Linked DNA regions of Mus musculus. The protein of the gene in region 3 interacts with the protein of the main gene of each other region in a biochemical or structural test. Links are inferred from orthologs where the notes say so. Each region holds a gene or a part of one and is shown on either strand. Other genes may lie near its edges.

Region 1 (8,182 bases), on a different chromosome or scaffold from region 3:
CCTGAGCCAGAAATGATAACATTATTTCCATAGTACTATTACAGAAAGGAGACTAAACTATGTATGGAAAATTCTGTGTTCAATGATCCTATCAGTATATATTGGGGAATAAGAGCAAATTTTGCTATATGACACTGCCAAAGAAACAGTTTTTAAAGAGTTTAGAAGTAGAATACTGTTAAAGACCTGCGTAGTGCTCACTCCTAAGTAATGGTGTTAACTAAACACAGGAAGGAGACTGTACTGGTCTCTGCTGGGGAAAATAAGATCCGGCAGTGTCTGTCTGTCAGGCCTGCAACACATAACCAGCAGTAGTTAAAGACTAGGCCTCCACTGGGTCTCCAGCAGCCTTCGGGTTTACTTGACCTTCTGCTTTCCTAGTTTAGTTGTAAGAACAGCAGTGGAGGAGACTGCCCTGCTAGTAAAAACAAAAAACAAAACAAAATAAAACAAAACAAAACAAAAACTTGACCAGGAAAGGGAGAGAGAAAGAACAGGAAATGGTGTGGGGAGAGTAGAAGGGAGGGCCTAGGAGGAGTTGAAGGAGGAGAAAGAATACGGTCAAAATATATTGTATGAAAAAGAGAATTTTAATACAGAAAAACAACAGTAACAGAAACTAGGCCTCACCCTTTAGTTTGAATCTGTTGCTTCTTTCGTTCAGTTTGATGTGAGCCCTTGTGTTAGACACATCCATGGGTGAGCATGAGGCACATCCACAGCCTCGGCATAGATGCCCTCTCACTATTGCTATCTGAGAGAAAATGAAAAATAGTACGGTAGCTGCAAAGTCCTTTCATGTCAGGTGCTGTCTAGCAAAGGGCCCCATACTGTAGATCTGCGGAAAATTTAGTATTGTGTACTGTAACAAAATGATTAGTAAAGTTTTGTTATACAGATGGGGCTCACAACGTTTTAATAGAGTGAAGGGCTTCTATATTACTTCAGCATTCCTGAATACTAACAAGGTAAAAATTGATATTGGTGTGTACTTAGCAGCAGATCATGAGAGCCTTGCTACGGCTGGCTTGAATACCACCACAGCTGCAGGTTTTATTGATTGAGCATCTGCTGTTTGCTAGCAATCCTAAACTACCAGTAGCAGTAAGTAAGACCTTTTCTGTCTTAATAAAGCTTCAAAATATATTTCAAGTTTTAATCACCAGAGTAGATTGTTCCATCTTCTGCTTTGCTCAGCCATTTTCATGAGACTGAATAACTAAACAACTGCACACAACATTTTCCTCTCCAAAGAGAATAAGCAAGAACAGGATTTAAGTGGAAACAGACACATCCCAGAAGATTCTATTCCCAGGTTGGTCTTTGACATTCTGCCTTTGAAGATGAGGATATGGGCTAGATGCAAGGCTGCTTAGGATCTCTTAATTTCCTAACTTTCATTGCACTGAAGAAGGAGGAAACAGCTATTCACAGTGTAGTGTATACAAAACACTGTCCTTGGATGGAATTGAACACATTTCAAACTGATTTCCTTCTACAGATAACTGTCATGGTGGGACCGGCCACTAGAGGGGGCTTATTTTGCATCTAGATCCTCATTTGAAGACTGAAAGAACTTCGGGTTAAAATCATGTCACCCACTTTACTCCAAATTTTCACGGAACTGTATATTTAAATATGACATTTTTCGACACTAGAATTACAATGGGTATGCTCCGTATAAAACAGCTATACCTTAAAGGGTACAAGTTAATTAAATTAGAAAGCACAGTCAACACTTGTGTTTTTTCCTGAAATTGAGGTATTTGGGGCCTCATTGCACACAGGCTAAGTAGTTTAACTTAAAGACTCATACTAAAGCTTGGTGACCTGGTTGTTAAGGGTGAACTTTGATTATGTGATTATACAGCTCACTATTTTCTGTTCAGGGGGGACAACGTAAGTACTTTCACTAAAGGACCTAAGTGCCAGCACTAAAGTCTTCGACAAAGCAAGCTGGTGACCTTTAAGGCATTTGAAGGCTCAGAGTTGATTAAAGGTGTTCAGTACAGATCTGATAAACAGAAGTCAAGGACCAAATAAAATAAAATATAAGTTCGTGGGGACAACAGTTTAGTTGTCCGAAATTATCAAATGCAAATAGTGAGACAATATAATAAAAGGTGTAACTTAATCTAAAAGGAAGTGTTGTCGTGTTAAAAAGGAAGCTCTCTATATTAACTAGAAACTAAGAGCACTCGCCGTTATAATGAATAACATTTAAGATGGTGACCTTTGTATAGAAAGCAGTTTATGTCCTTAAATAACATAAGGAAAATCAGTTACTTAGACTTAGACACTCAAGCGGAGCTCCAAGTTTTATGCCCATGTACATAATACCTGAGATTTTTCATCTCATACTGAGTTAGTATTACTATTAATGAAAACAGGGAACAAGCACTTGAAAGCCTCGGAAACTGTAACTGCCAGGAACAAAGTCAAATTGAGCAAACATGTTTTAACAAAAAGAAACCGTCCTACAAAATACTAAAGCACTGAAAGCCAGGGTCCAAAGAACTGCCGGGGTAGAAAACTGCTGAGTCAACGACATTTGCGTCCTTTAAAGTGTACCAACCATAAAACTTCCAAATTCTGATCAAACTATTTACACATGGACATCTCCTCTCAATATTAATTTGTAAGTCAAGATTTGAGGAACTAGGACAGTTGAAATTCTTAAGGGGAATTAAAATCCACAAATAACCCAACTTCTAAGCTAGTAACTATTTGTAAACAGTGTATAAATCTTAAGTTGGTTTTTTTGTTGTTTTTGTTTTCTTTTTTTGGTTCACTTGGTGATAGCTGTCATGTTTCAAGCAAAACACACACTACTGATTGCCTGAAAGTGTTCCTAAAATAATTTATTTTTTTAAAAAAATAACAAATGGTGAGATGTGGAAACTCCAAGGTAATTATGAATGAATGCATCAATACAGACAACTCCTAAATGGAACCCTGTCTCAATCATGAATCTCTTTTCTGAGGGGGGAAAAAAAATCTCCCATCTCATACAAATAGCCCATGGAAATAAAGACCAAAGCCTGTAATCTCTGTCAGAATTGGCAAAAAAAAAAAAAAAAAAAAAAAAAAAAAAAAAAAAAAAGCAAGGGGAAATGAACTACAGGTAGAGAGTAGAAATAACTTAGAAGTCAGTCTAGTTCTTTTTCCTCTTCTTAATGATTTAAAATTTTACAGACCCAAAAGCACTCCAAAAGGAGGAAGAAAACTGCACCAAAGAGTGGCTAAGAATGCCACCAAGCTGCCAGGGCACCTGTCCACTGCACACTCCAACCTGCTATCAATTCTGCGCCTACACCGAGCCCTGCAGAACTGCTGCCTAGGAAGTAAATGAGAGAGCAAAACAGAAAGCTAGGCGCTAAGAACAGAAAGACATTCCTTCAAAGGCACAGGTCCCCTCCTTCAAGACAACACGTGTTTAGCTCTGCCCAACATCTCACCTCAGTGAGCTGTCTACTTATCCTCCGTGTCCCCTAAAGCTCACGGCAGCGGAGATCTAGAGTGGAGGATTTCCAGGCAAGCTTAACTAACTAAGCTAGAGCGGCACTAGGTAGGTCAGAGCTGTCAACGAACCAGCCAGGGAAGGTCGCTGAGCAGTAAAGGTGCAGGTGCCTGAAAGCAGGATTTTTTTTTTTTTAACGCATTGGTTGAGACTCAGCTCCTGGATGGCGGCACGCGTGGGGACCTCCCGCACCCTCGGAGCGCGCCTGCCCGCCGTCACTCACGTTTTCTGCACCGGCTTGCGCCGCTTGCGGCTGGCATAGGTGATGTTGGCGCCGCTGCTCATGGTGCCCGCGCCCTGCCCGCTCCACCTGCGTCCCGGAGGCGGCGCCCTGCCCGCGCTGCGCCCAGGTGAGCCGCCGCCGAGGGCGGGACGACCGCGACGCGCAGGTGCGGGCGACAGAGGAGACTCGGGCTGCCCGAGCTGGCCGCGGAGGAGAAACCCGCACGCTAGCCGCGCCCGGTCCCGAGGGTCAGGAGGGGCCGCAGTGCTCTAGGGCTTCCCGGCTCCCGCGCTGTGCCGCGGCGTCGCTCACAACCCTGCCTGGCAGCCACCCCCGAGTCCGTCCACCAGTTCGTCCTCCGGGTCGCTCCGGGCTGAGCCTCTCCGGGACACGCGTGGGGCACCGAGCGTCAAAGGGAGCGCACACACACGCTGCCGCCCGCCGCGAGCCCGCTCCTCCGCAGCCGCGACCCCGCGCAGCTCCGCCCCGGGCTCCAGCCCCGCCCCACCTGCTCGGCCCCGCCCCTCACGGTTCCCAGGAGGGCCCCACCCTCTTCGCAGCACGTGATGACGCAGGACGTAGTGACTCCCAACACTTCTTGCAGTCCGAGGTTCTGGGGGTGGGGTGGTGTTCGCCCAGTACCTGTTTTCCAGCCTCAAAAGGGGTGTGAGGCCACATTATGCCTAGGCAAATTCCTTGTAACCCAGACATCAAGATTTACCAGGCAAAGAGCTTAGCTCATCCTAGAGTTGAGTCATCTAATTTTTGACAAAGATTTTACATTGAGCTGGTAGATAAATAACTGCGACTGGAGAGCATTCTAAGGGGAAAACTTCAAAAATGCCCTGCAAAGTTAGTTGTCTTGAAGGCTACGAGTTTTATAATCCTTTTCCCTCCCACATTTATTTTATGTCTACAGAAGACAATAAAACATCGTTTCCTCCATCAGACTTCAGGAAGATGAGAAGGAAAGAAGCACAGGAGTGCTGAGAGCATGAGAAATTGGAGGGTAGGTACTGAGACTATGACCAGAGACCTGAGTTTCTGTTAGTAGTACGGTAGAGCTGATGGGAGGAAAAAGAAAAAAAAAAAAAAAGATAATCTAGGAACAAATCATAAAGATTTAATGAAGAAATTGGGTCTCATTCTGCAGACAACAGAGAGCTTTTAAAGGCGTAATTTGGAAGATGATGTTCCATCTTTCTTGGGAAAGTCACTGTGGGAAAAGGTGGAAATTCTGTTACTCAGGAACAAAACAGATGGAAGAGAGAATCGCTGGGAAATTGATGAAATCGACCAGCTGCAAGACCAATGGCACAGCCATGGGGATGAGAGAAAAGAGACAGCAGAGATGATAAAGGAAGAGGGAAGGTCGCTGTTAACCACCAAAGAATAGAGGCAGAGAAGTGAATTTTGGGAGTCAGGTAGGTGATGCTGGACATGAAGAGATAGAGATGAAGTCTGATGTGTTTTATAGATTTGAGAAAGAGATCAGAAGAGAGGATACACAACAGCAAGGAAAAGGATAGCGAGAAAACTAAGAACAACAAATGGTGCCCAGGCTGTGGAGGAAGAAGAACCCGCATCACTGTGGGTGGTTGTAAACTGGTCCAGCCACTGTGGAACTCTGTATAGAGTTTCTCAACAAATTAAAAACAGATCCACAAGATGACCTGCTATTCTCCTGCGCACATACCTGATAGCCCTTCATTCAAAACAAGTGAGAAGTGGACCCAGACTAGATTCACATCAACCTATGGATGGATAAATAAAATGTAGTGCGTCTACACAATGGCATTTTATGGGACTCTGAATAAAACTGAAATCATGGCATTTGCAGGTAAACAAGTGGAACTGGAGGCTGCCGTGTTAAGCATGGCAGACACAGAAGGCAAATACCATGTTTTCTCTAGATGTATGCTCTAGATTTTGATTTTTACACATGTTGAAACTAGGAAAGCGATCATGAGAGTGGAAAAAGGAGCTCTTGGGTTGGAGGTGAGAAGAGAAAGGGCAGGAGAATACACATGACACAGAAGGAGAAGAGGGGATCCTGTGGGAGCAAGCAGAGCAGCAGGAGTGGGGGAAGGAATGGGGGGGGGGCGTCCAGCAGAATGGGAGCATGGTAATTCATACATTTCATTAAGCCCATCGCTTTGTGTGCTAATATTAGAAACAAATTTAAGAGTTAAAATTGATAGTTTTCTCAACTATGTTTCCAGCTGGGTAACAATGGCATGAATCACCAGAAAGAAATTATAAAGCTGGCCTCATGCTTCTTAGGTTTGAAATAGATTTAGGACATCTAAGGAAAGATGGTAAATGGGGCAACCTGTGAGGTAGAAACTGGAACTGTGATCGAGAAGCTGTTTGCTATTGGACAAAAAAGAGAGTGTGGTGATGCCCTGTGGGTACTGCAAAAGAACTGCCAGGACTAAAACCTGGAAAGCTCAAGAGCCCCACCCCCACTCCCCACCCCCCACCCCCCACCCCGAGAGCTGGGTCCACCGGTGGAGTGGAAGGTGAAAAATGGCCCCGTTATTTCAACAAGGAAGGCCGAGAAAAGAGAACAAAGATTCACTGACTAGTGTGAACTATTTTGCGAGGCCCCATTGTTAATTACTAATTAATAATAATGTAGTGTTGATTTAATGGGAGTGATGAGTGGGGTTGTTCTACTTCTTTACAAAAGATGAAGAGGTCATTGACTTTGTGAGGAAAAAAAAAGACAAAGGTGATAAGTAACAATAGATACTTATAGAAAAGCAGAGAAAGTGCCCAAGCAGAAATGAGATCAGGGCTGTGGTGGACTTGCTAACAACGAGAGCAGTTCTTGAGGGGCTTTGCTTTGTAAAGTCCCCCATAGCTTCTATAGGGCTTCATGGTTCCCACCTGCAATCCCGGCACATAGTGTGCTGAGTCAGGAAGGAGTCTACAAGTTCAAAGCCAGTCTAAGCACCAATATTATTAGCCTAAGTATGATTTTTTTTTTTTCTGAAATGGGGGGACTTGCACAGAATGTCTTTACTGAGTCCTTTAATAAGGTCTTCCAGGTGATCCAACAGTTTGGGGTTGAGTGCCATGTAAGTTAGGGGAGAAAGGATAGATGAGTTACACTGAGTAGACTAGTAAAATTTACAGTGGAAATAAAATGAAAGAGCATTTAGCCTTAGCTATAGAAGAATGTGTATGCCCTGTGATTGGTAGATTTCATTTTAATTTCATTTTAGAAATATATACATTAGAAATGATCTTGGAAATGACAACAGGAAAGTGGGAATCAGTGTTTTGTTTCCAGTGTATAAATCCCTGAAAAATAACTCAGAACTGTGGGATGAACATGCAGGAAGTGATAATCCTGCTGAGAGTTGCCTTTTACTTAAGGCAATAAATAAGTAAAATAAATGAATGAATAATTAAATAAAACAAATTTCTAAAGAAGACCATTTACACTGATCAGCAAATCCAGAAGTACAGGCCAAACATCTCCACGTCTCCTTTTCTTCCATCTCCTTTTCTGCATAGATGGAACAGATGGGACACATGATCATTCTATCCCAACATGCATTGAGTGGAAAAGAACAATTTCCTCTTAGCATAGCAACCAGAAATGTAAAACACATTAACACAGTCCATCAGAACAGAGTGGATAAAGTCAGAGCTCCTCCACAGTAAAGGGTTGTACTAAATGAGCTAAACTCTTGGTGGGTTGTTGTTTGTTTGTTTGTTTTCATCTCTTTTTTAAATGGTAGCTCTTTTCCTATCATACTTCTGTGTCTGGTTAAAATATTATTTATGAGTCACATCATTTATGTCCTCATATCCACTCTTAGGCAATAAATCTTTGTATAGCCAAGACTAACAGTCTAATGTTCACAGTGAAATTTTAGAAATTCATTTCATTTCAGTAATGGCAGCAAAAACTTCACTTATGAGTTAGTGTGCTAACAAAGCTAGTCTCTAATGTGGGCTATTACAGACAACTACACGACACTATTGACACTTTGTACAAAACAAGGCTTCAGATTACCACTGCAGAACATGACCTGCAACTTGTCACTTGTGACCATCCACAAAGATGTTTAGTTTTCTGGGTTGAAGTAACATGATATTTTACATGCAATAATTGGTTTATAACAGTCCATTAACACCCAACTACTTTACTCAGTATGAAAACAGTATGTTTTAGTCATACTATAAATAAAGAAATTCAATAGAATGAAAAATAATTAAAATAATATTAAGCTAACATCCTCGTCACTGTGATATTTAATTTCCACAAGAAACCAGACATGTCATGATACACTAGTGATAACAGACAGGCTCCATAATAGAGCCTGCTTTGTAATAGAAGAGAGAACAGTTCATCAGGTAGTTGCATAGGTAAATGTGTAATTGCATTTGTGACTCATGCTGTGAGGAATGTCGTGGAATGTGTC
Region 2 (8,211 bases), on a different chromosome or scaffold from region 3:
TGTGTATGAGATTTTTTTTTTCTTTTCTTTTCTTTTCTTTAATGGGTAGGAGTGTTTTGCCTGAATGGATGAGCAGGCCTGGTGTCTAAGGAGGTCAGATCTGGATCCCTTGGAAGTGTGGTTATGCACAGTTGTGAGCCTTCATATGAGTGGTGGTGGGAATCAAACCCAGGTCATACTAAAAAACAAGTGCTCTTATCTGCTGAGCCACCTAGCCAGCTCCTCTCCCTCAGAGAGCTTTTATACAAGAAACTATCAAGGTTGGCCTCCCAGATAGAGTGCAGAATTGTCTCTTGGTGGGTTGGTGTATGTCTATTTATTTGTATACTTTTCTTTTGTTAAGAATGGACCTACCTCCTAGCTGGGCAGTGGTGTCGCATGCCTTTAATTTCAGCACTTGGGAGGCAGAGGCAGGTGGATTTCTGAGTTCAAGGCCAGCCTGGTCTACACAGTGAGTTCCAGGATAGCCAGGGATACACAGAGAAACCCTGTCTCAGAAAAAAAAAGGCTCTCCTATGACTCAGACAAGCCTCCTTCTTACTGTGTACCTTTTAACTCCTGACCCGCCTGCCTCCAGTTCATCAACAGAGACATTACAGGCTACACTGTCTATCTTTTCTTTCATTCTGTTGTTACATTTTGTTCATCTGTTACAGTGTGTGAAGGTGAGAGGGCAAGAAGTAGATGTTTCTCTCCAGCTTGTGGGCTTCGGGGGTCAAGCTCAGGTCCTTGGATTTGTAGCAGGTGCCTTTACTTGCTGAACCATCTCACTGCTTCTCCCCTTAAACTGCATTTAAATGTATTCCTTGTGTGTGTGTGTGTGTGTGTAGGTCAGAGGGCAACTCTCTTCGGAGTCAGAGTCCTTAGGAATCCCCAGGATGGATCAATGGACCAGGTCACCAAGCTTGGCAGCAGATGAGGCACCATCTTTTTTTTTTTTTTTCTTTTTCTTTTTCAAGGTCTTACAATGCAGCCACTGGTCTGGAATTTGAGATCCCCCAGCCTCAACTTCCCTAGGGTGGGTGGGCTCATGGACTGACGTGGGGTAGCACGCTTAGCTTCAAGGCTATTTTAAGTACTCCTTTAACTCCTCCCAGTGTCTCTGCTGTCACTTTAACACAGATGTCCCACAGAGACCAAATTATGTCAATTATGGGCTGGTGAGATGGCTCAGTGGGTAAGAGCACCCGACTGCTCTTCCGAAGGTCCAGAGTTCGAATCCCAGCAACCACATGGTGGCTCACAACCATCCCTAACAAGATCTGACTCCCTCTTCTGGTGTGTCTGAGGACAGCTACAGTGTACTTACATATAATAAATAAATAAATATTAAAAAAAAAAAACTATTTAAAAAAAAATTATGTCAATTAGCTAAAAAACCAAAACCAAACAAACAAAAAAGCCAACATACAGTCTTCTCAAGTGACCTATGTCACCTGCACTGGATGGATCCCCTCTGCCACGACAGCCGAGATCTGTGTCTTCCCCTGAAGCTACAGTCATTTGGTTCCTAACTGACCTAGGTCCCCGGTGCCTCTTTGTGCTGTAAGACACCCTCAGGCATCTCACCTCTGTCCCAATCTCTAATGACTGCCTTCATTAAACTAGTGGTCCCACTTGCTTCCTCTCTAGCTGTAGACTCCTTAACCTTCCCAACAGTCAAAGCTCAGCTCTTTGGCCTAATCCCCACTCTGACAATGAATTGCATTCCTTCTGATTTATGCTTCTTCCTCCCAACTGTTTCTTCAGGACCATACTCAAACATTACTTAAATCAAAGTCTTCCATTTTTTTTTTTTTCCTTTTTAAGCTTTTCTTTTCTTTTTTTCTTTTTTGGTTTTTCGAGACAGGGTTTCTCTGTATAGCCCTAGCTGTCCCGTTACTCACTCTGTAGACCAGGCTGGCCTCCAACTCAGAAATCCACCTGCCAGCCCAGCATGGTGGCTCATGCCTTTAATCCCAGCACTCGGGAGGCAGAGGCAGGCAGATTTCTGAGTTGGAGGCCAGCCTGGTCTACAAAGTGAGTTCCAGGAGAGCCAGGGCTACACAGAGAAACTCTGTCTCGAAAAACCAAAAAAAAAAAAAAAAAAAAAAAAAAAAGAAATATACCTGCCTCTGCCTCCCAAGTGCTGGGATCAAAGGCCTGTGCCACCACTGCCCGGCAAAATTACACCTGTGAAGTAGCAACAAAATAATTTGGTAGGGGGGTCACTACAACATGAGGAACTGTATTAAAGACTCCCAGCATAAGGAAGGTTGAGAACCATTGCTCTCGGGGTTACAATGCTCTCTGGCCTGAGGGTGCCTGCATACAGGTGGTGCACATACATTTATGCAGGGCGCACACACATACACATAAAATAAAATGTATCTTTTTTTTTTAATCTACTGGGAAGGTGAGGGAATTGGGGGTTCGTTTGTTTTGTATTAGTTTTTTGAAGGACATGCTTTCCTATCCGCCAAGAAACTGTTTTACTTGCCTTACTGTTAAGAACAGGATTTGTGCCAGGTGTGGTGGTGCACACCTTTAACCACAGCAGGAGGCAGAGGCAGGCGGATTTCTGAGTTCAAGGTCAGTCTGGTCTACAGAGTGAGTTCCAGGACAGCCAGGGCTACACAGAGAAACCCTGTCTCGAAAAAAAAAAAACCGAAACAAAACAGGATTTGCCTGAAAAGCAAAAGCTCACCAGTTGCCCGGGCATCTCCACAGATGGCTTTCTACCATGCTTTTAAACCTGTTCCAGAGCAAGATTTTCAAGACTTGCAATCTTTTCTTTTTCTTCTTCTTCTTCTTCTTCTTCTTCTTCTTCTTCTTCTTCTTCTTCTTCTCCTTCTCCTTCTCCTTCTCCTTCTCCTTCTCCTTCTCCTTCTCCTCCTCCTCCTCCTCCTCCTCCTCCTCCTCCTCCTCCTCCTCCTCCTTCTCCTTTTCTCCTTCTCCTTCTCCTTTTCCTTCTTCTCCTCCTCCTCCTTCTTCTCCTCCTTCTCCTCCTCCTTCTCCTCCTTCTCCTTCTTCTTCTTCTTCTTCTTCTTCTCCTCAAGACAGGGTTTCTTGTAGCCTTGGTTGTCCTAAAATTCTCTCTGTAGACCAGGCTGGCTTCGAATTCAGAGATCTGCCTACCTCTGCCTCCTGAGTGCTGGGTTAAAAGCCTGTGCCATCACCGCCCGGAAGAAAACGGAATCATTGTTTCAGGAAAAAATTAAGATGCCTGGACCTCTGTCGGCTTCGGTGGTTGCTACTCTCTCCTTGACCTGGATGGCTGACAGGATACAAAGTTGTTTAAGACAACTTTGTTTTTTGCGTCTATTTATGACTTTATTTTTGTTTTTTGCAGGTGTGGTGATGTATGCTTTTAATCCCAGCACTCTGGAGAAAAGGGCAAATGGGCCTAAATTCGAGACTAGCCTAGATTACATAAACAGCTCCAGGACAGCAGCTAGAAGAAACCTGTCCCAAACAAACAACAAATTTCACTATTGTGTGCCTGTTTGGCGAACGCGTGCCACAGTGTCTGTGTCGAGAACAAAGGACAACTTTAAAGAGTCAGTTTTCTTTTTCCACTTTTACACGGGTTCTGGGGATCAAACCCAGTTGTCACCCACGTAGCCATCGCGCCGGCCCTTGTTTGAAACAACTATTAATGGCTGGACCACACCGGACAGTCCAGATCTCAATGCGTCCGTGTGCACTTGGCTACAGGGGCTGCCGAGGCAGTAAATTCAATCTCGCATTTAGGCAGTCTTGCTGAAAGCCGCATGGAACCGAGTGGAAACAAGAAAAGCAAGCGGCAGGCTCCTCCTGCACGGATTTAGCATCAGGCTAACCTCACAGGCCAGGATGGAGCGAGTGACTGATGGGTCGAGGGCGGGCCAGCAGTCAGATCGCAGGAGCCGCTCAGACACGGGTGGATGTGGCCGCCGCCTCTGGGCGTCCAGCCTGCTTCTGTCCGCTTCGGCTCCGGAGGGGGCGGGGGGGGGTTAACAGCGCGTGGGGGCGGGGAGAAGAGGCGAAAGTCGACGGCGGTGCCGGGCGCGCGCACGTGCGTGGTTACGTGCGTGCGTGGGCGCGGCCCATAGCACGCCGTGCGCTAGGCGGATGTCCGGGCCGGCTGGGCCGGGGCGGCGGACGAGATGGCGGAAGGCCGGGGCAGCCGTGAGCGACCGGATGTGGAGACCCAGAAGACGGAGCTCGGAGCCTTGATGGGGACCACGCTCCAACGTGGGGCGCAGTGGTGAGCGTCCGCCCTGCCCTCCTGCGGCGCAGAGCGTCTAGCCGGCTCGCTGGCCCTCAGGCCGGACCTCTGTCCTCAGTTTTAGGTGGAGGCGGGCCGGGGGCGGTGCCTGGAGTCTGAAAGAGTGGCTTGACAGCGGCCGCTGATGAAAGAAACCCCGGGATCAGCTGGGGGACAGCGCTGACAGGCGTGGGGTTTGTCCCGGTCCATTCGGATTCACAGTAGTCTTGGACCGGCGGGGACAGGGGGTGTAGAATATAGAAAAGGGGGCGCGCTGGGGTCGGCGGGAGCGGGAAGGTGGGGGAAAGCACTTAACCACCGAAGACTTGGGCGCTTGATGGTGACCTTGGTGGGGGAAGTTTCCACCCCTTACACACCTCCGATCCTTAACAATTAAAACCTCGGTAGCAATTTGTGGCTTAGGACGCTCCTGGCGTGGAGAGAGGATCCGAAGTGGATACTTTGTAACTTGTAAACTGTGATACTTTGTAACTTGTAAACCGTGGGACAGGATTCAAAGCCAAAAACTAGAAGCCAGTTGTCAGATGGTCCGGGACAATTGTAGCAGTAGTTAGATGTAAGAGTGGGAGGGGAGGGGAAGGGAGGGGAGCTTGACTCCTGGAGCAAAATAGAAGATCGAAAGTTACAAGACTTTGCCAGGCACGCTGGCATATGCTTTATTGGTTTGCAGGAGCAGAGGCTGTAGGATTGCTGTAGGTTCAGGGCTGGTCTCATACAGTGAGCAGCACCCCCCCCCCAAAAAAAAAGTTCCAGGTTTACTAGAGCAGATTCAAATATGAGGCCTCTTAAGAGATTGTTAACTAGAAGGGATTGTACTCCCCAGTCGGGGAGAAATGCCTGGGTGGTGCTGCTGTGTAGGAGTCAAATAATAGGGTAGGTTTCTCATTGATTATGACCAATATGAGGACTGAAAAAGAGAACAGAACTTATGTGTTTGGGGTGTGGTCTAGGTGTAGTTTATGGTGTTTAAATTGAGCCAGTGAAAGGCCAGACAAATAGAGAGAGGTACTTTAGAAATTCTGCAAAGGGATGACACAGAAAGAATATTCAGGTTGGTCTGGATGCTCATGCCTGTAGTCTTAGTCCTGGAGGAGTATTGCTGCCAAATTTCAGGGCCAACCTCAGTGACATAGTAAAAGCCTTGTCTCAAAAAAAAAAAAAAAATGGTGGTGGGTAATGTGATTAATAACTTAGTAACATAGTTTTACTTGTAGAAAGAGTCCATTTGAAATGATTGCTCATGGGCTGGTGAGACTGCTCAGCATCTGAGAACTTAGATTATTCTTGCAGTGCCTGAGTCTGAGGCCCAGCACTCGGGTTTGGTGCCTCCCTGCCATCTGTAACTCAAGCTCCAGCTCCAGGGATAGCAACTCCCCTGACCTCCGTGGGCACTGGGAGTCATGCTCAAACTCAGGCACATAACCAAAGCATAATTAAAAAGAAAAACTCAGCCCAGGAGCGGTGGCACACATCTTTAGTCCCAGCGCTTGGGAGGCAGAGGCAGGTGGATCTCAGAGTTTGAGGCCAGCTCAGTCTACAGACAGGACAGACAGAGAAACCATGTTTCGAAAAACTGAAATAAATTAAATCCTAACTAGGCATAGTGTCACACAACTTTAATCCCAGCCTCTGGGAGGCATACACAGGTGGATCTCTCTAGTTCAAGGCTATCCTGGGCTACATACTGAGGGTGCACCTCCCCCCCCCCCCCCGCCATCTCCAAAGTTAATTAGTTTTAAAATTCTTTCAATAATCGTTTATGGTTTTGGTTGTTTGTTTCTGAGACAAGGTCTCCCTGTGGCCCCTACTGGTTTGGAACTTGAGATGTAGCCAGGCTGGCCACAGACTTGCAGACTCTTCTGCATCTGCCTCCTGTGTGCTGGGATTACAGATAAGTGATCGCAGTGTCTTGTGTGTGAGAGAGAAAGAGACAGGCAGAGAGAGAGGGGGGGGAGGGAGAGGAATATGAGAATGTATGGCACACGCTATGCATGCAGATGCCTATGCAGAATAGAAGAGGCTGTTGGATTTCCTGGAGCTAGAGTTGTGCATACCATACATGGGTGCTAGGAACCAAACTTGAGTCCTTTGGCAGAGCACAAGACTCTCTTAACCTCTGAATTATCTTTCCAGTCCCTTGTTCATTTTTTTTCAGACGTGGTCATATTAGGTAACCTTGACTGGTCTGGAATTCCCTATGTAGACCAAGCTGGACTGGAACTCATAGACATCCAAGTGTCTATGCCTCCTGAGTGCTGGGATGTAAAGGCCAGCATGTGCTAGCATGTGTAGCTTTGTTTTGTCTTTTACAGATAGGGTCTCTTGTAGCCCAAGGGAGGGAACCTCAAGCTTACTGTGCAGGGTAGATTGACCTTTTTGCCTGGACCTCACAGATGCTGGAATCATAGATGTGGGTCACCACAAACTTCCTCTACTTATTCTCTTAGCAGTCATTTTTCTTAGTGAATACCTGGCATAGATTAGGCCCTCTCTGCCATGTGGGGCTAACTTCTGTTCTTGATATTAGGAGTGTGATTTTAGTCGACAGTGGCGGTAATGCACACTTCTAGTACCAGCACTCAGGAGGCAGTGGCAGGCAGATCTCTGCATTTGAGGTTAGCCTGGTCTACAGAGCAAGTTCTAGGACAGCCAGGGCTACACAGAGAAACCCTATCTTGAAAAGCTCCCCTCCCCCCAAACGTGATTTTGTGAGAATTGTATATTACCTTGGTGAGAAGACCATAAGGAGCTTAAGGTAGGTGTCTAAAGATGAAAATTAAAGGAGAGCTGCAAAACATAATGCTTTGGGTTTTTAAAACTGTGTTTCTTTATTCAGCTGTATTTTATATGTAGCTGCTATTTCTCCCTAGGTATCTTATTGACAGCCGGTGGTTCAAGCAGTGGAAGAAGTATGTGGGCTTTGACAGCTGGGACATGTACAATGTCGGGGAGCATAACCTGTTTCCTGGACCTATTGACAACTCCGGACTCTTCTCAGGTGGAGTATGCTCAGTTTTCTACTGTAGTTCTCATGGGCCAGTCAGGGGCTGCGTGTATCTCTACCATGGTCCTCATGAGTGTGAAACTTTCATAATGTGAAGACATAGACGTGTTCCTTTACATCTGTAGTAGACGTCTTTGCAGATTATTAGGGAAAAGTCAAGTAGTTATTTTGCCCTAAACAACTACTTCTAGCAGAAGCATGCCTTTTTTGTTACCGTTCTGTTGCTGTGAAGAGACACTATGAACATGGCAACTTATAAAGAGTCACTTAATTGGGGGCTGGCTTACAGTTTCAGCAAGTTAGTTCAGGATTATCGTGGTGGAAAGAGTTTGGTACCAGCAGGTGAGTGTGGCACTAAGAAGTAGCTGAGGGAGGCTGGTGAGCTGGCTCAGTGGTTAAGAGCACCGACTGCTCTTCCAAAGGTCCTGAATTCAAATTCCAGCAACCACATGGTGGCTCACAACCATCCATAACGGAATCTGATGCTCTCTTCTGGAGTGTCTGAAGACACACTAGAGACAGACAGAGCTAGGTGAGGGTTTATGAAACCTCAAGACCACCCTTCAGTGACACACCTCTTTCAGCAAGGCCACACCCCTCCTTATCCTTCCCAAACAGTACTACCATTGGGAACCAAAGATTCAAACACGCGAGCTTAAATGGCCCATCCTCATTCGAACGGCCACATTTTATAGCATACTAATGTTTTTTTCATATTTTTATTTTTACTGTATATGTGCACAATGTAGGATGTGTATGATGTGTGTGCCAGTGAGTCACTGTGTATGTTAAGGCCAAAGTATAGCTTTCTGCAGTTGGTTCTCAGAAGACATCTTACCTGTCTACCTCGTAACGTTTTGTCTCTACTTTCTGTTTTTTAATTGTGTGTATGGATGTGGATCTGAATGAGCTGTGCATGTGAAGTGCAGTTCCTGGGGATCCAGAAGGGAATTTAGGC
Region 3 (7,432 bases):
CGTAAGTGGCAAGTTCCTGGGTTGCACTAATTTTCTAACCAAACTGGCCAACAGTCAGGGAATCCCTGTAATATCTTTCTTTTCCAGTTTGACCATTTGCTAGAATACTCATAAAACTTTGGAAAATAGTTTACTGACCATAGCAGTTTATTACAAAAGATACAGATGAGCAGCCGGATGAAGAGACACATAGGGTGATGTCCACTGGGGCTTCTGGCCCGCTCCTGTGGAGTCCGCATCTCCAGAGCTCTCCTAAGCCTAATGCTAAAGGATTGGATTTTGTACAAATAGTTGATTAACTAAATGTCTACCCACTTTCCCTACTCTGAAGGTTAGGAACCGTGGTTGAAAATTCCCAGCTTCTAACCAGGGCTTGTCTTTCTGACTCCATACTGATACTAAGGGCCTATCAGGAGTCTCTTTATTAGAACAAAAGATGGCCCTATCTTCCTTATCACTTGGGAAGTTCCAAGGGTTTTAGGAGCAGGAATAGAAGACAAAGACCTCATATCTTTCTATGTGGTAACATGTATGTGTACAATCTCATAGAAATGTTTACAGAAGTTTGAAGTGAGGTCCTCTGAAATGAAGCACAATAGCCTCTGCAGCATGACTCTGGCACTGGCCTCCTCCCACACCCCCGCGCTCTAACACTCCTTCCTGTACTTACTCACCCCACCTCCCACTGCCTTCTGCTCCCTCTCGGTGCTAGTCTTTCTCTGATCAATAAGGACCTGAGGTAAATGTGCTTGCTGCATAAGCCCAGGGGCCTGAGTTTGACCCCAAGAATCCACATGAAAGGTGGCAGGAGAAAACTGACTCCTAAAGTTTGTCCTCTGCTGTTGGCATGTGCACCACAGTACACATACTGTTATATTCACACACAGCGTGCACACATATATAACAACAATAAATACAATTTTTTAAATAATTGGTTTCATGATGAACCAAGCACAGTGGTTTATAATCTCAGAAGACTGAGGTAGAAGGATCAAGAATTTGTGACTACTTGGAAATGAAAAATCAGTTCTCTCTAATAGTCTCTCTGAGGATACAAACTATACTTTCAGGGCAGGTCCTGTACCCAGCAGTAGATAATTTACACAAAACAAACTCAGTGGCAACTTTGGAAGTTCCTTTTTGTCTCCTAGGGCTGTTTTTCTTTGTGTGTGTTACAGCTTTCAGTTTGTGTGTTGAGGGATTCTTGCGTGTACCAACCCGTGCCCTGCATCCATATGCCCACCTCATGCTTTTTCTTTGGCCCTTTTTCTTCTGTGTATTTGTTTTGTCATATTTTAGTTGTTTTATTTTATTTATTATTATTCTTTAGATGCCTGTTTGTTTTCTAACAAAAGACAGAAGGGGTATAAATTCCAGTGGGAGAGAAAAATGGAGGGAAACTCAGTGGGAGAGGGGAAACTGATCAAAATATATTGTATGAACAACATCTAGTTTCAAAAAGAGAAAAAAATAAAAAAGAGTTTGTGGCAAACCTGAGCTACATGGTGATTTGTAGGCCCGCATGGGCTATATAGCATTAATGTTGTTTTAGGTGAAAACAAAAGAGGGAAAGAAAAGGGAAACAGAGGAAGAGAGGAGAAAGAGAGGGAACAGCTGTGTGCACACCCTAGAGCACTGGCTAGTTCTGAGCCCTCCTAACACCGAGGCCCTTTCCTGGTGTGCTGGCCCCAACCAGAACCTTAGTTTTGTTGCTACATCATACTGTAATTTTGATATTGTTATGAATTATAACAAATAATTTTGGAGATAGAGTTTTGCCAAAGGGGTCTTGACCCACAGGTTAAAAAGCACTGCTCTAGCGGTTGGTTGGAGTTTATATGCTAAATAAAATGTAAAAGTTCATTTTACAAATCCTCAGTGCTGTGACAGCTGATTGAAGACGGGCTGTAGCTGCTGGGCTTTACAAAGGAGCTGTGGGACCATTCGTTTACACCTCACGCAAGGCAGCTCACACAGGTCATCACACTTTTGCTTACTGCAGCCTGTGAAACAATGGAGACACTATTCATCCGCATAGTAATAAGGCCCTGGGACTTAGCTTCTGCCATGTTGAATATGTACTCTACATATATTTTCATTAAATTAAGCTGATCCTATCTAATGCACCAATCAGTTCATGTTTAAGTTCTATCTGAAAGTCTAACTTCATTTGTTGGCTTAACTAACATGTAATACACATGCCTGAGACAGTCATGAAATGGAAGCTAAGAGACAGACTGTTTCCACATACTTATCTACTGGGTGAGATTGGGTGGTGTGCCTGTTCTGGCATGTCTTACCAAGGTCACATGTCTAGTAATATTGCCTGGACTAAAATTGTGAAGTCTTTGAATATTTAAGTTAAAAACCTTTATAAATTAGCAACATTTCAACAATGCCATCCATGATGAGTGATGGTTAGTGATATATCAACATCCCATGACTCAATCCACCTCAGGGAGTATATCAGTCACGGCTCCTATGGCCTTCCTTCTTGCTATGTAATCCTCTAAATCACAGCTTTTTTTAAAAAAGGTTTTTGGTTTTTTGTTTTTTTGTTTTTTTGTTTTTTTTTTTTGTTTTTTGTTTTAATTTCAGTTCTAGAAATAGGATCCACCTTTACTACTTCTGAGAAGTCCTGGTTTCAAGCGTTGAGTGCCAGCAAGGCCATAGGCTTAGCCAGTGCTTGACAGCGCAGGGATAGCACAGAATCAGAGCTGCTTGGATAGATGGGAGAATCAGCTGCTTGCATAGATGGGAGAATCAGCTGCTTGCATAGATGGGAGGATTCAGGAGGAATGGGTGTTTAATGAAGGCAGAATTGGCATCCTTATGCTAATTGTTTTTAAATCTGTCACTTAGTCCAGTAAGGCAGAGAATTAAAATGAAGAGATTACTTTTGCCTAACTTTTGGTGCATCTCAAAATAAAATTTGTAGCTGCTGACTTCAAAATGTGGCTATTTAATGGTTTAAAATAAGAACTCTGTAATTTACAGACATCTGAAAAGTTCCAGAAAATAAACCAGATGGTGTGTAATAGTGACAGAGTGCTCAAAAGAAGTGCTGAAGGCGGCAACCCCCCCAAACCACTGAAAAAGCTGCGCTTTGACATCGAGGGAGCCGATGAAGCAGATGGGAGGTAGGAACCATGGAGATGCTTGCTCCAGGTAGCTGAGCAGAGCACAGAGCCACTGTCAGCCCCGTCCTGAGTCCCCTCAGGCCTTGTCCTGCCAGTTTACCACTTTGTGAGAACAACTAAAGAGACTAGATGTGGGAGAAGGTAGCCTATGCCTTTAATCCCAACACTTGGGAGGCAGATGAGGCCCCTCTCTGGGAGATCAAAGGCAGCCACAGCTATATAGTGAGACCTTGTCTGGAAAAACAAGAGAAAACAACATACTAAGTGTAAAGTGGTACAGTGGAAAGCAACATGCAAATCTGCCATCTATAAATTCATGACGACTTAGACATTACAAGTCTAAGCATGGACTTACACAGCTATTGATACAAATTTGTTAGTTTTAACATTAAATTAAAAAACTCTTAGAAAATACTAAATTATGCTCTATAAAAACCACTAAAAATATATAAGATCATAAATTTGTGATATCTTTTTTTAGATCACTTAGAAGCTTTTGAAATTAAACCAAAATAATAGCATGTAATTGAAAGCAACAGAGTTACTAGGAAGTTGCATGCATGCTTTTAAAATGTGTTTTTTTTTCCCCCCAATCTGCAGTAAACATCTCCCAGCGGAGTCCAAATTCCAACAGAAACTGGCAGAAATGAGTAAGTTCCCCTCTCTTACTTTGCAAACAGGGAAGCAGCATTTGATTTCACTGAAGAAAGCCTTTTGACTCTGAAGGAATCCACACATTATTCCTTCAAGTGGCACAGTTATTTATGCATTTACAAACTAGTAGTTCAAACAGGAGTATACAATTTACCTCACACATTGGTAGACTAAGTGTGTTTCACAAAGTGTGGGTCAGCACACTTTGAATAGTCTTAAGCTGATGTTGATCTGTACTTTAAAATATTACTTTTTGAAATTTTGTACATGTATGCAGTATGATTTGATGGCATTCTCCCCTCACTGGCCACCTTCTCTCTTCTTCCAGGCACCTCCCCTTAAACTGCACTCCCAGCCTTATCTCCTCTTCCTTTTCCATAGCCACTGAGTCCAGTCAGTGCTGGTGGTATGCAGACAACTTTAGGGCCACCCATGGAGCACACACAAACCACCAGGGGCTTGTTAAACTTCCTTACTCTCCAGGCTTTGAGACAGTTCTAAACAGAGGTTTCCATTACTGGAAGTCAGATTTGTGGAAATTGGGATCAGGTCTGTCAGTGTGACAGCAATTTAGAATGGTGGGGTGAGGGGTTGTCACTGAGTAGCAGAGTGTTTGCTGCCTAATGTGCACAAGGTCTTGAGTTAAGTTCTCAGCACTGCAACAGACAGGCTATATATACAATCAATCAATAAAATGAATGTTATTTTTGGAATAGTATGACAAATTTAATTTCACCCTAAGCTATTATGAGACTAAAAAATTAAGTAGATGGAAGGAAGCGGTATTTGCTAAGTGTTCTGGTTGTCTTAGGCACATAGCTGTGGTAGTAAGAGTAGCTGCTGCAAGACCCAGTAATAGGCAAAGAAAGGGACTTAGAAAAAGTAGAAGTGTTTAGAAGCTTGTGGGGGCCACTGCCAGTGAAGGTGATGAGGACTTACAGGCAGGTACTGGACATGCATGGCAGCTGCCAGAGAAAGCACACAGCAGAGCTGTACTTCTTCTGCATACTTTTAAAGCCCTTTCCCTTAAGTGTGTCGTTTGAACCTAAATTAAATATGCTAACCACTTAAAATACTAGTTATATGAATTAATACATCTCTATTATATCTCTTCAAGTTTTGTGTGCCCCAACCCCACCCCACCCCACAGGACCCCATGTGCAGACATGGTGGGCTGCCTGCCCCTGGTCCACTTACTTTCCCAGAGTCCTCAGCACTATTAATATTCTTGTTGCTTTTCCAGCTTCCACTCGAACACGAATGCAAAAGCAGAGAATGAATGAGAGCAAGGATGTCTCAAACAAGGAGGAAAAGTGAGGACCTCAGGGCCCTGGACCCTCAGCCCTGGGGACACCAGACTCCTGGCTCATGGTTGTGACTAGTTCCCAGGTTCTGCTCATGTTAGAGATATAAAATGTGCAGGTACAAGCTGAATATTTGTGTGGGTGATTCGTAAGCCACTTCAATGTTGTAATCAATGGTAGAGAATTGATAGCACACAGGATTGAGAATCTTGTGCAGATCATGCCATTTAAAATATGAAAGCAAGTTGTTTGCATTTCCAACATGAGCCTGCTGCCCTCAGAAGTGAGGGCCTCTGCAGGGGTCCTGACCCCCTACATCTGGCTGACTACTTTGCCTTTCCTCATGGCACATGTGTGATGTTTGCTCTTGGTTTTATTAATTTATATGTATTTTTTAATTTAACGTGAATACCCTTAGAAAATGTGTCTTGTCTTCCAAATGCAAGTTGATTGACTGTCCACATTCAACCAAATTATCTTGAATCTTCTACTGAAACAGATTGTTACAAACTGGGAAAAAGTACTAATTTCTACACATTGGACTATTTTAATATTAGAATCTAATGTGCCGTGTGTTTGTTTCACATATTTTACTTTTGAAATACAAGCAAAAAAAGTATAATCATATGATACTGTCTTACTACTGACACAGATTTCATACCTCAGACCCTCTAAGAACCGATTCTTTTATTCACCCAACACATGCTTTGAACTGAAGACTATTGATAATACTCCGAGGTTGTTTTTTTCTTTCAATCATTCAGATCACTGAATTTATAAGTACCCATGTAGTACTTGAAAGTCAAGTTTGGCCACAACTGTGCTTAAGAGGACCCTAGTACAGTACAACCCAAGTGCACTTTTTAATGTTTCTGGGTCCTGAAGAATCAAGATACAAATTAATTGTGATTTACAAGCAGACTGTTAACTATAGAAGCCTTCAGTTTTTTTCCCTCATAGACGTGTCTAATTACATCTCAACAGTTTACTCTGTTCTTCTACATCTGGGGATGTTTGTGTTCTCTCTGGAATGGTACATCTTCCAGGGTCTTTTGAACTTGCAGTTATCTATTTTTTAAGCCAATCTGGTCTAATAACTCTGGCTTCTTCAAAGCCACACCATTTCTAGTCCAGCTGTGCAGAAACTTCAGATGAAAACAGCTGCATTGAAAATAGAGGCACTCCCTTCACCCCCCACCTAAAGGTGTATTTAAATTATCTTGTGGGATTAACTTATTTAGAGATGGTATAATTTAAAATAGGGGATATTTAAGGTAGCATCAGCTAGCATTTAAGAAAATCACTTTTTCTAAACTCCATACTTTTTGAAAAGAAATCTGGTCTTGTTAGGAAACAAATTTCTATTTTGTCCTCAATTTAGTTTCAGTTTTACTAGTTTGATAGTTATCTCAATAACAAAAGCAATAGACAGCTTCCCCCATTTCTTCATTAAGTTTTGCATGATCATCACACAGATTAGTTAGGTTTTAGGTCAAGGGCTTACCATACTTCTAGGTCTTTTGCTAGTGAGTTCAAGTTAGAATTAGTGACAGAATCATAGGAATTTTCAGAGATCCTGCTTCGAGATTTCTTAAAGCTGCAGACACTGCACTATTGGTTTTGTTTTTTTGTACCGGTTGAAACTATACATTCAAATTGCTATGTTCCTATTTTCTATAATAGTTTGTCTATTTTAAAATAAACTAGTTGTTCAGAGCCTTACTGGTGTGATATGATCTCTGAGTTAAGTGTTTTCTGCATCTGAGCTTTCTCCTCACATCTTTTCCATTCTGATGACCGACAGATTTACAGAAATATACTTTTTATGCATTCATATGGTATGTATTATATATTAATATATTCTGTTCTCTTGTGTCTCCTTTTTTATGAAATGAATTTGTCTAAAAAGCTGTATGCTTTGTGAGGCCCTCCCAGAAACAGGAAAAAGGAGACACTAAAAACTTGAAAGCAACGTATACAGCAGGGAATAGAAAGACTGGGAAGAGACAGTAGGCGGCTGTTTAGCTGGCAGCTGCCGGCTGCAGGGCCTTCCCACATTTGAACATTACTTCGTTGATAAACAGCAAATCTAACCACACATGAAAATAACTGAGAGGAGGCCATGTGCAGTAGTGAGTTCAGTGAAGACTGGTTGGCTTTAGAACAAGAGATGTCTGTAGGGCCTCCGCCAGGCAGGGATACAAAAACATAAGATCAGACAGGACCACACAAATCTGACTGTGGTACAAATGCTTGTGATCCAAGTTCTCAGCAGCTGAGGCCGGAGGGTATAAGTGGGAAGCCAGCTTGGGTTACATAGAAGATGTCAAAAAG

The links.
Region 1: the proteins of Rb1 (region 3) and Ahr form a complex in vitro, tested with the Homo sapiens proteins (2 studies listed by BioGRID). The link is inferred for Mus musculus from reciprocal best matches to the Homo sapiens genes RB1 and AHR.
Region 2: the proteins of Rb1 (region 3) and Usp4 form a complex in vitro, tested with the Homo sapiens proteins (2 studies listed by BioGRID). The link is inferred for Mus musculus from reciprocal best matches to the Homo sapiens genes RB1 and USP4.

Annotation. Positions count from the first base shown.
Region 1 is NC_000078.6:35,530,819-35,539,000, forward strand, and holds the start of Ahr (aryl hydrocarbon receptor), read right to left. Parts: upstream 4,172-8,182; 5' UTR 3,806-4,171; coding exon 3,744-3,805; intron 1-3,743. UniProt on the Homo sapiens protein: Ligand-activated transcription factor that enables cells to adapt to changing conditions by sensing compounds from the environment, diet, microbiome and cellular metabolism, and which plays important roles in development, immunity and cancer.
Region 2 is NC_000075.6:108,343,791-108,352,001, forward strand, and holds the start of Usp4 (ubiquitin carboxyl-terminal hydrolase 4), read left to right. Parts: upstream 1-4,040; 5' UTR 4,041-4,127; coding exon 4,128-4,228; intron 4,229-7,119; coding exon 7,120-7,247; intron 7,248-8,211.
Region 3 is NC_000080.6:73,194,890-73,202,321, reverse strand, and holds the end of Rb1 (retinoblastoma-associated protein), read left to right. Parts: intron 1-2,997; coding exon 2,998-3,140; intron 3,141-3,740; coding exon 3,741-3,790; intron 3,791-5,037; coding exon 5,038-5,111; 3' UTR 5,112-6,820; downstream 6,821-7,432. UniProt on the Homo sapiens protein: Tumor suppressor that is a key regulator of the G1/S transition of the cell cycle. The hypophosphorylated form binds transcription regulators of the E2F family, preventing transcription of E2F-responsive genes.